Canis lupus familiaris: one gene and its partners. The protein of the gene in region 3 purifies or fractionates together with the protein of the main gene of each other region. This does not show direct contact. Links are inferred from orthologs where the notes say so. Each region holds a gene or a part of one and is shown on either strand. Other genes may lie near its edges.

Region 1 (3,655 bases), on a different chromosome or scaffold from region 3:
CTACAGCTTAGCTTACATGAAATCTCATGTTGCAGAGACCACTGGCTGAGATTCATAACATCTGGCGCTTCATATATTCTTACAATACCATCTGCTGAACAGGTTGCTAACATAAGACCCATATGCTTAGGAGCAAATTTCACATCGGTAACAGATGTTCTGCTATCCACTAGAGTTGTCCTTTTAACCTGGGGGGGCGGAAAAAGATGATTTATATACAAAAAGAAAGGACGATACAGTGGGAAGAACACTGGAATTACACTGCTATTTTACTTGGTATATAACCTTGAATAAGTTATTTAAAAACCACCTAGGTCTCAATTTCCTCCACAGCAAAATACCACATACACAAGTCGCAATCCGTAACAAATTAGTGACCTATAAACAAATTATTCCTTTTAAGGTAGAAAAAAAGTTGGCCTTAGAAGTGTAACTTGATTGGGGATCCCTGGGTGGCGCTGCGGTTTAGCGCCTGCCTTTGACCCAGGGCGCGATCCTGAGACCCGGGATCGAATCCCACATCGGGCTCCCGGTACATGGAGCCTGCTTCTCCCTCTGCCTATGTCTCTGCCTCTCTCTCTCTCTCTCTCTGTGTGACTATCATAAATAAATAATAAAAAAATAAAAAATAAAAAAAAATAAAAAAAAAGAAGTGTAACTTGATTAAGAGTAAGTACTCTCCCTTGAGCTGACCAGTCACTAAACTAGAAAAATGTTCAAATTTTCACTTAAGTGGTTTTTGTCTTACAAAGTATGTTGCAAGCAGTAAATTAAAGGAATTAAGATTCTTTAGCAGTAAAATGGAAAGCATGTAACTTGTTCCTTCAAGCATAAATGCTAGTTAGCCCTACTTAGATCCCTACCATCTAACTCACAAGAAAAGGTGTTTATTGGAGACCAAGAGAATGGCACGAAGCTGGCATTGTGATAGTTACAGAAAGCCAACAGAGCATCTACAAGCCACTTTCTGGCATCTAGACTTCTGACAGAAAATACCAACAAAACATAGAAATCAACATTTTACTGTCTATAGATACTAAAATAACATTTGAAGGAGTCTCAATACTAAAAGAATATCACATAAACTCCAAAGATCACATCCTTGCAAACTTTTGCCTATAAACACCAATGAATAATCAAGATCAATACAATAGCTGAACTATTAAATGTATTAATGACAGTTGATTTAACTAAATACAAATAAATATGCAGATATCCTCCGGCTTTCAAAGGTGTATGTTATACCACTTTGCATTTTACAAAAAAACCTACTTTAGTACCTTTCCTAACCAAAAGAAATCTGAAGAGGATTTTTGCTTTTGTAACAAATGAAAATAGCATGCATTATTCGTTTTCCAAGTCATTATAGAGGCAGCACACACCCTTATATGCAATGCTGGCCCTGCCTAGCTCCTTCCATGGGAACACACAGCATCTCAGCATCAAGCCTCAATAACTTTGAACGGAGTCTTTGAGCATCTATGCTTTATCTTGATTTATGTAGTGCAAACATTAGCAAAGTGGGTCCTAAGGCATCAGAAAAGCCTAAAAGAGGTTATTTTTTGGCTCGGGAATACTCAAAAATATTTCCGTTAAGTTAGTGATAACTGATTCTCTACTTTATGCCATTTCAGCTTATGCAAGTTGTCCTAAGAATGCTGTTTTATATAATGGGGGAAATCTTTAACGTTTAAGTTCAAATAAAAAGCCTTTATATGCCACTACTCCTCAACCCAACCTACAGTATACTAACTGACTCACCTCTATTAGAAAAATCCCTTCAGGGACACCTGGGTGGCTCAGTGGTTGAGTGTCTGCCTTTGGCTCAGGGTGTGATCCTGGGGTTCTGGTACAGACTTCTACATTGGGCTCCCCGCAGGGAGCCTGCTTCTCCCTCGGCCTAGGTCTCTGCCTCTATCTCTCATGAGTAAATAAAACCTTTAAAAGAAAAATCCCTCCAATACATCCGTTTCTCTTCTCCCCTCCCCTCAAGCAGCTGTTTGCCTTAGGGAGGTGTGAGAGAAGGCAATGAGACCAATCCCACCCAATAATAAAAAATTGTAGGGGCATGTGGCTGTGGACTCTTGATCTCAGGGGCCATGACTTCAAGCCCCAAGTTTGGTGTAGAGATTACTAAAATGAATCTTTAAAAAACTTTGTAAAACTGTGAACAGCATGCAAACTATAAACCTAATTAAAAAGAGTATGATAACGGCATTAAGAGACATAGACCAATGGAAGAGAATATAGTCCAGAAATAAACCTTCTCTCTATATATGGTCAATTGATTTTCAATGATGATGCCAAGACCATTCAAAGGGGAACCGGTGGCATCTCTCCCAATTGGGTGGGAGCCCCCAAACGTGGGGTAAACCGACTGGGTGGCAGTCTAAGGCACAGGCAGTAAAAGGATTCACCAGAGCCGGAACAAAGGAGGTAGATGTGGGGGGCAGGATAGCAAAGTAGAGGTTGCCTGCTCAGCTGCAGTGGGTGGGAGCTGCATTTAAGGAAGGCGAAGGAGGTTTGGAGACATTTGGAATCCTTCTTTGTTGGGTAACTGACTTGGTTTTAAGTAGCCCATTGGTTAGTTAGGGCCTGTGGATATTTTCAGGTAAGTGGCCTCTCTGGGCCTGTTTGTATTCAGCAAGGGATTTTAAGTGGGCCCTTTTGCCTTGCTTTACATTCCATTGCTCAAGCCTATGGTCTAAAAGCAATCTCTACCTACAGCAGTCATTCCAATAAAAGATAATGGGAAAACTAGGTATTAACATACAAAAGAATAAAGTTGGAGGCTCCTGGCTCGCTCAATTGGTAGACTGTGACTCGATCTCAAGGTCATGAGTTTCGGCCCACTTGGCGGGTAGAGAATACTTTAAAAAAAGTTGCACATTTGGGATCCCTGGGTGGCGCAGCGGTTTGGCGCCTGCCTTTGGCCCAGGGCGCGATCCTGGAGACCCGGGATCGAATCCCACGTCAGGCTCCTGGTGCATGGAGCCTGCTTCTCCCTCTGCCTGTGTCTCTGCCTCTCTCTCTCTCTCTCTCTGTATGTGACTATCATAAATAAATAAAAATTAAAAAAAAAAAGTTGCACATTTAACTTACACCATATACAAAAGTTAAGTAAAAATGAACAAAAGACCTTAAAGTAAGAACTAAAATTTTAGTTCTCAATATAAAACTTTGGGGGAAGTCTTTATGACATTGGATTTGGCCATGATTTCTTGAATATGACACCAAAAACACAGGAAACAAGAAAAAAATAAATTGGACTTCATGACAATTTTTAAATTTTGTGCATCAAAGGACACAGTCAAGAGAGAATGGGAGAAAATATTTGCAAATCATATACCTGAGAAAGTACTAATATCCAGAATATAAAGAACTACAATTCAACAGTAAAAAAAAAAAAAAAAAAAAAAAGAACCCACCCAAATTTTTAAAATAGGCAAAGGATTTGAACAGACATTTCCCTAAAAAAGTAAAGGATTCTGGTCCCAATACCAATTCAGGGGATGAAGGAGAGGGCATATCCCCCCCCAACAAATAATTCTCGAATAGCAGGCTGTCCAAGAATTCAACTCAATTCTGACACTATTTACCCAGAAATAACATCAGATTCCACCAGTAAAGGGTTCAATTCTGTAAGACTGCCTGC
Region 2 (3,655 bases), on a different chromosome or scaffold from region 3:
GATTGTGACTAGAATCTTTAGCAGAGGTGATATCAGTGGGCACTGCACATAGTAAGGCTACATGCTGTTTTGTGCAATTTATGTTTTGTGTACATGTATGATCTGAAATGGATTACTAATGTGTGTCATGCTCAAAGATTTGTGGAAATCCTAAAACCTAATGCATGCATGCAATGATAATTGTTTTAGTGTAATTTAAATATATTAAGTCTCATTAGTAGAAGGATTTTGTTTTAACTCAGTAGGTACCTTTGCTGGACGGGCCCTGCTTTTGAAAAGCAATCGTTATAAATGAACACTTTGGAGATAAATATTAGCACAGTGCAAGGCACTTAACAAAATACCTACATGGGCTAATTCAGTATAAAAGTGAGCAGATGGTTTATAAATACAAATGAGATAGAGAAGGAAAAGAATTAGAACCAACAATAGAGAGAAATGTCTAATGGCCCGATTGGGTTTTTTTTTTTTAAGATTTTATTTATTCATGAGAGAGACAGAGAGAGAGGCAGAGACACAGGCAGAGGGAGAAGCAGGCTCCATGCAGGGAACCTGACATGGGACTCGATCCCGGGTCTCCAGGATCACGCCTTGGGCTGAAGGCCCTAAAGCGCTAAGCCACCAGGGCTGCCCCCAATTGGATATTTTTGATTTGGTGGAAGTCTCAAAGCTGTGCCTAGTATAGAATAACAAGCAGTTAAGGATTAAGGAAATGGTTTCTGTAAATATTTCCCACTGGGAACAGGTTGGGTCTTAAAGCACACATCTGTGATCTGCGTTCATCTGCTATCCCAGGTGTGAAATCTTATTTGAATGTAGAGGACAAAAGGACAAGAAAGGCACAGCAGTGGGGACCAGAACAGGCTGTACCTTTCTGGTATTCTCACCTGGGCCAGAGAGTCATTTTGAGGAAGTAAAAATATATTGTTTTTATTATAGAGAATGTAACCATAAAATAGACTATTTATTAGGAAATTGGGAAAGGAGTGACCTATGCAAATGATCCATCAAAAATTATAACCTGAAAATTTCACCTTTGAATTTAAATTCCTTATCTGTTAAGTTTTTAAACTATTGGGACTATGCATGCTTAATATAATTTATCAATGAGATTAGTTTCATCATTTGTATAAACTACATCTAGGACATTACAGAAAACCATTCAGAATGTGTAGGCTCCATTTTGTCATTGACCTCATTAGTTTCAAAAACTTCTGTGTGTTGGAGTTCAGTCTTCTATTTCAATAGAAACCATAAAGGTAAAGCAAACCACATTCATTATGTACTTCACATGTAGATAAAAGGAATTTTTACATGTTCGTAAAAATGAGCTATAGCAAATGACTTTATCAGTGAATATTGGTAGAAGGGAAGGTGGAGGACTACAGCATTTGTTGTTGCCTAGAATTCCTAATTTTCATTAATATCCTTGACTGAATTTACAATTTCATGTGGTTACCATATTTACCAGCGGATATAGAAGTCAAATTACATGGCATAATGAGTTTTTTGTTTTTTTTTTTTTTACCATGCCTCAGTAAATTAGTTACCCAGATCTCTCTTTGTCCTGTGATTACAGACCACTGGATTTGGTCGTTCATCCTGTGCACCAGCCTTGTCAGCGTTTGGGATTTATTCAGCAAACGCCCAAAAGATCTCCTTTATACCTAGCATCCAGTTCATTGTTCAAAGGATCACCTCACAGTCCCTCCAGTACGCTAGAATTACGTGTACTTGAAACTCCTTTTGTAGTGAAGGTGAGTATTTCATACCTTGCATTCATAGTGAAGCTAGGGGATTGAAAAGTCAAGCAGCAAGGCAAAATAAGCTAGCTCTAACTAATGTCTCTGGGGAGTTGACAGCTTTAGGCCTTCTTTGGAGGTGTTACCTTTCCAAAATATTGATTGTATTTTTACATCTTCTTAAGTAGGACTTTATTACTAAGTTTACCTGTAGTGCTAACCTGAGGTTGTACTCAAGGTTAACAATTATCTTGTGTTCTGAGAGTAACCCAGATCTCTGGTTATTACTGGTTGAAACCTTAAATTAAAACCTCTGAAAAAAGCATTCACGTTCTTGAGTTGCTCCACCACCATCACACACGCACCACCACCACCACCAATTTCTTCTCCCATGCTGCTGTTTCTTCCTTCTTATGTCAGATGCTTTTAGTTCTCAGATTTCTTTTTATTTATTCTCTCCTTTGATGAAACTGCACTGTTACTCCTTCTTCCTAGCAGTTTATCTGTCTTAAATTCCTTTTCCTTCACCATCTCTGATAAACTATTAAATGGGAAACCACAAAACTAGACTTGTGGTGGCAGGGAGTGGGCACCTTTTCCCCATCCTGTTGTCAGAATGGTTTCAATCTGTTGTGTGCTGGCAACTTATCCAGTGTTCTGGATGGAGTTCTGGAAGCACTCCACCTTCATTTCTTTCCATTGTTTCTGGATAGTCAGTGTGGAGACTGAAGCCAGGGGATTCTTACTTTTCAAAGTGATTAAAAGATAGTTCAACAAATGTCAGTCCTAAAATAATTACTAAAAGAAGGTTGAGGAGCTTATTAAAATACCTGATATTTACTCTCCAGGGCTGTGATTCCTGTTTTCATCCTTTTAAAAAAATCACATTTTATATTCTCTAAATCAAGGAGTAATTTTGTGCCTGCCACCAGAAACAATCTAGAAAAAACATGAGTATAATATTGAAATGTATCTAGTGGGTTACAGCCATCTGCTTTAGGGGAGAAGTGAAGTGAAGGAATGGTTGCTGCTGAACAGTGTCTATGCTGATTATTTTTATTAATTGATAAATCCTCAGGATTCTCATAAGTAATCAGTTATTGTTGGATTCCTGTGATGAGATGATATTTTTTATGACATTCTTAAAGTCAGGCTCATCATTTTGTATTAACTTGCTCTAATTAAGCTCAATTCTTTTCTATACGCACTGTCCTATCTCTTCACCTGACTTAAGTTTTATAGGCATCCACTCAATAATTTCTCTCTGTACTCTCTTTTTCCTCTTAAGTTGAACTTAAACTGAGAATAAGCAAGACCTTTATTTATTTTTTTTTTAAGCAAGACCTTTAGAATGGACATAGTTTTAGGTTTTGTAACCTTAGGTATAGAAATGTCTGAGTAGAATTTTGTATTTTCTTTCCAGTAATTGGTAATGAAACTTTATGTTGGTATGTTTATTGGAGATGAGTATACAGGTAGCCTTGTGACTCAGTTTACTCCATCTATCCTCACGTAAGCGGTGTTTACAAACACTGGTGGTGGCCTTCATTATTTGTTGCAGAGAGCTAAGACTTTGGCCATGTCGGTTACTTCCTCTGGATTTGCCGAGTTCACTCCTCAGTCCATCTTAAGGTCTGGTCTCCGAACACCGCCTTTACCATCTCCCTCTCTGTCACCTGGAAGGTCTGTCACCCCTCCATTACGGCTTAAGGAAACTAGAATTTCATTCATGGAAGAAGACATGGCCTCCAAACAGACTGCTGGAGTAAGTTTGATAATAGTTGAAACAAATGAAGACTGTATTAGTTTTTACAAGTAAAAGGTAAGATAAATAAATCTTTTTTTGAGAGGAGGATGAGCAGGAAGAGGGGCAGAAGGAGAAGAACCAGACTCCCCACTGAGCAGGGAGCCTG
Region 3 (3,655 bases):
TATATAACAATTTTAATTCAAAAACTCTACTTAGAATCTGTATGATTTAAGAATACTAAAGTTACAGGGTTTGCAAAAGGGTTTGGTTAATACGAACTCATTTGATCAAAACATGCTTCCCTGAAAAAAATCAAAGATTCTATTTCATATACACTAGTGTTCATACGGAGGCAATATCAACATCATAGGAAACTTCCAACTTACTGATTTCACTAAGAAACAAGCTTGTAAAACAAAATTATTTTTATCAACTTACGATGAGATCACTACTTGGAGATAAAATTCCCAAAAGAGAAGAAACCTTCCGACCAATTCCTGAAAGCATGCCTTGTCCTTGAGGTAGGATATGTTGATGAATCTTTCCTAAACTATCAGGTATCAGCCGAACCAGCTGGCTTCCCAATGAGGACAAAATAAAACTTCCTCCCTATGAACAAATATTGTGAAAGCAGTTATGCATCTACAACTGAGATAAAGAACATTAACACAAAATGCTTTGATCATAGAAACAAATCATCTATCATCTATACCTTAAAACAAATCTAAAAAGAATTTTAAGTGTCATTTTACTAAAATGATTTAATTATGAATCCACTCACATGATATTAACTCTACACAGAAAAACTTCAGGGATGTCTGGATGGCTCAGCAGTTGTGTCTGCCTTCAGCGCAGAGTGTGATCCTGAAGACCTGGAATCAAGTCCCGCATGGGGCTTCCTGCCTGAGCCTGCTTCTCCCTCTGCCTCTCTATGTCTCTCGAGAATGAATAAATAAAATCTTTAAAATAAAAAAAGAAAAAGAAAAACTTCAGTTATAATTGTTTTTTTAATCACATATTTTTCTTTTTTTAAAAAAAGATTTATCCATGAGACATAGAGAGGCAGAGACAGGCAGAAGGAGAAGCAGACTCCCCATGGGGAGCCTGATTTGCTACTTGATCCCAGGGCTTCGGGATCACAACCTGAGCCAAAGACAGATGCTCAACCACTGAGCCACCCAGGAGTCCCAACTGCATGTTTTCTTAATTCTGATCCTTAAACAGGTTCACCATACTGCAGGTTCAACAAATCGAGTATCACACTTTATTGTTGGCAAACTTGCAGAGTGGACATTAGTAAACTATTCTTCATACCATTTAAGGGTTCCTAAGTCACTGTCTGAAAATTTCTGAAAGAAATGAATACCACTGGCCATGATCCAATATTGGTATTTCAGAGTCCTAGGAGAAGGGCTTTCTTTTGTCCACCTATTGAAATCCTAGACCCTTTCATTCTTCTCACCTCTTTTTGATCCCCCTCTGGCCTGTACGGTCTATTCAAAACAATTTTTAGTCGTTTACATCTCACTCCCAAGCCAAAACACAGCTTTCCAATAAATATAAAAGAATACTCATTGTATACCTGCACTGCTGTTAGGAAACTGTAAGTCTTATCACCTCCCAAATCTACGAAGGTCTCTGTGTAGATATCTTCACCGGCAAGGCTTGGCCAATAGCGGATGGCTCCTTCTCTGGTGGCAACCATGACAGCAACAGCCTTGAAACAATATAACAGTCAGTAATCACAATAAAAAAGACCCTGAAACTAGGAGTCTGGTGACACCAATAAAAAGAAACCAGGGCAATTTACTATTTAACAAAAATTAGGGGGGACAAAACCCCTCCTTTTTATATTTTAAAAATTATCAGACTATAAAATTTACTTTCTTTTGTTGTGCAGTTCTACAAAAAAAATTTTTTTTTTTTAGTTCTACAAATTTTAACACATGTACAGACCCACGTAACTACCACCAATATAGGGACACAGCACAATTCTGTCAACACCCCAAACTTCCTGGTGCTCTCTCTTAATAATCACATCTTTCCCTCATCCTAACCCTGACAACCACTGTTTCCATCATTAGTGTTCCATCTTTCTGAGAATGTCAAGCAAATGAAATCATATAGAATGTAACCTTTAAGCACCAGCTTATCTTACTTCAGCATGTCTTGAGATCCATCCAGATTGTTACTGTTATCAAGAGTTCATTCCTTTTCACTGCTGAGTAGAATTCCATTCTATGGATGAACCCTGTTTGTTTATTCATTCACTTGTTAAAGGACACTTGGGTTGTTTCCACCTTTGGCTATCACAAATAAAAAGCTGCCATGACATTCATACACTGTTTTTTGTGTAAATATAAGTTTTAACTTCTATAAGGTAAACAGCCAGGAAGGGAATTGCTGGGTCATAACAGCAAGTGTGAAAATCCAGTAGCTATACCATTTTGCATTCTCATCAGGAATGTATGAATTCCAGTTGCCCCATATCCTTGGGAATACTTCGTAGTGTCAGTATTTTGTATTTTAGCCATTTTAAGAGATGTATTATGATATCTCACTATTGTTTCAATTTACATTTCCCTAATAGCTAATGACATGAACACCTCTGTGACACCCTTGGTGTCTGTTCAAGTCCTATGCCCTGTTTTTAAATTCAGTTGTTTTCTTAATAAGCCTTGAGAGTTCATTTTGCATTTGAGATACAAGTCCTTTGATGGCCATAGGACTTAAGAATATTCTCCTCCAGGCTGTAGCTTGTCTCTTTTTCTTGTCACTGTGTTTGACAGAGCCAATTTTTAAATTTTGATGAGGTCCAATTTATCCATTTTTTAAAATGAATCATGCTTTCGGTGATTTCCAAGAACTCTTTGTCTAACCCCAGATTATGATGATTTTTTTTCCTGTTTTCTTCTAAAAGTTTTTATAGTTTTATGTTTTACATCTAAACCTATGATCCATTTTGAGTTAATCTTTATATAAAGTAGGAGATTTAGGGAGTAGTTCTTCCTTTCTCTCTTTTTCTTTGCATAAGGATGCCCAATGGTCCCAACACCATTTACTGAAAAGACCATCCTTACTCCATTGAATAATTGTTGCAGCTGTCAAAGATCAAAGGGCCACTCTGTATCTGTAGTCTCTATTCTGTTCAAATGCCCTTATATGTCCCTTTGCCAATACAAGTCTTGATTCCTGTGGCTTTATCATTATGTCTCTAAATCAGGTTGGATGATTCCTCTAATAGTAGAACTTCTTTATTTAAAAAAAATGCGTATCAATAAGCATTTAAGTCACCTACCTGAGTAGATTGTGTTTCACCTGAGTTATCAGAGTAAGAGAGAGCCACCAAGTCAGCACTCCAGTCGAAGTCACTAGGTGGCAGTTGAAGTTCTTTGCAAACAGATAACTAAAGAAGAAACCCAAACAAAAAAATCTTTCACATCAATCGAATTTTTTAAAATATGCACCTGACTTCACTATTTTTTTTCCTTGCATGTTTTAGATTCTGACTCACTGCTGGAAATACCATTCTACAAATATTCTTTCTTCTCACATCTTTTTGATCAGGCTTTCGGTAATTTCAAAACAAAGTTTTTTAACAGATATAGGATTAGGAAAACTTAAAAGCTAGACTAGTCCCTGAATATCAACTACTCCAATGTTTTTCTGGACTAAATAAAGTCTATTGGTTAAGAAAAATACGTATGGAATTTTCCTAGGCTAGTCTTGATTTGTTTGACAACTAACATCAGCATTACCACAGAGCAATTAATTATACCAAGTTGTCTAGAAAATATTTCTTAGCCTCAGCCAGGTATCAGGTTCCTTCTGCTAACT

What was found.
Region 1: the proteins of NUP133 (region 3) and SEH1L purify together in Homo sapiens (affinity purification with mass spectrometry; 4 studies listed by BioGRID and IntAct, with this or other methods). This does not show direct contact. The link is inferred for Canis lupus familiaris from reciprocal best matches to the Homo sapiens genes NUP133 and SEH1L.
Region 2: the proteins of NUP133 (region 3) and AHCTF1 purify together in Homo sapiens (affinity purification with western blotting; 3 studies listed by BioGRID, with this or other methods). This does not show direct contact. The link is inferred for Canis lupus familiaris from reciprocal best matches to the Homo sapiens genes NUP133 and AHCTF1.

What each region holds. Positions count from the first base shown.
Region 1 is NC_049228.1:78,453,361-78,457,015, reverse strand, and holds part of SEH1L (nucleoporin SEH1), read right to left. Parts: intron 189-3,655; coding exon 1-188. UniProt on the Homo sapiens protein: Component of the Nup107-160 subcomplex of the nuclear pore complex (NPC). The Nup107-160 subcomplex is required for the assembly of a functional NPC.
Region 2 is NC_049228.1:37,519,082-37,522,736, reverse strand, and holds part of AHCTF1 (protein ELYS), read left to right. Parts: intron 1-1,579; coding exon 1,580-1,757; intron 1,758-3,303; coding exon 3,304-3,507; intron 3,508-3,655. UniProt on the Homo sapiens protein: Required for the assembly of a functional nuclear pore complex (NPC) on the surface of chromosomes as nuclei form at the end of mitosis. May initiate NPC assembly by binding to chromatin and recruiting the Nup107-160 subcomplex of the NPC.
Region 3 is NC_049225.1:10,159,385-10,163,039, reverse strand, and holds part of NUP133 (nuclear pore complex protein Nup133), read right to left. Parts: intron 3,225-3,655; coding exon 3,117-3,224; intron 1,536-3,116; coding exon 1,401-1,535; intron 428-1,400; coding exon 257-427; intron 1-256. UniProt on the Homo sapiens protein: Involved in poly(A)+ RNA transport. Involved in nephrogenesis.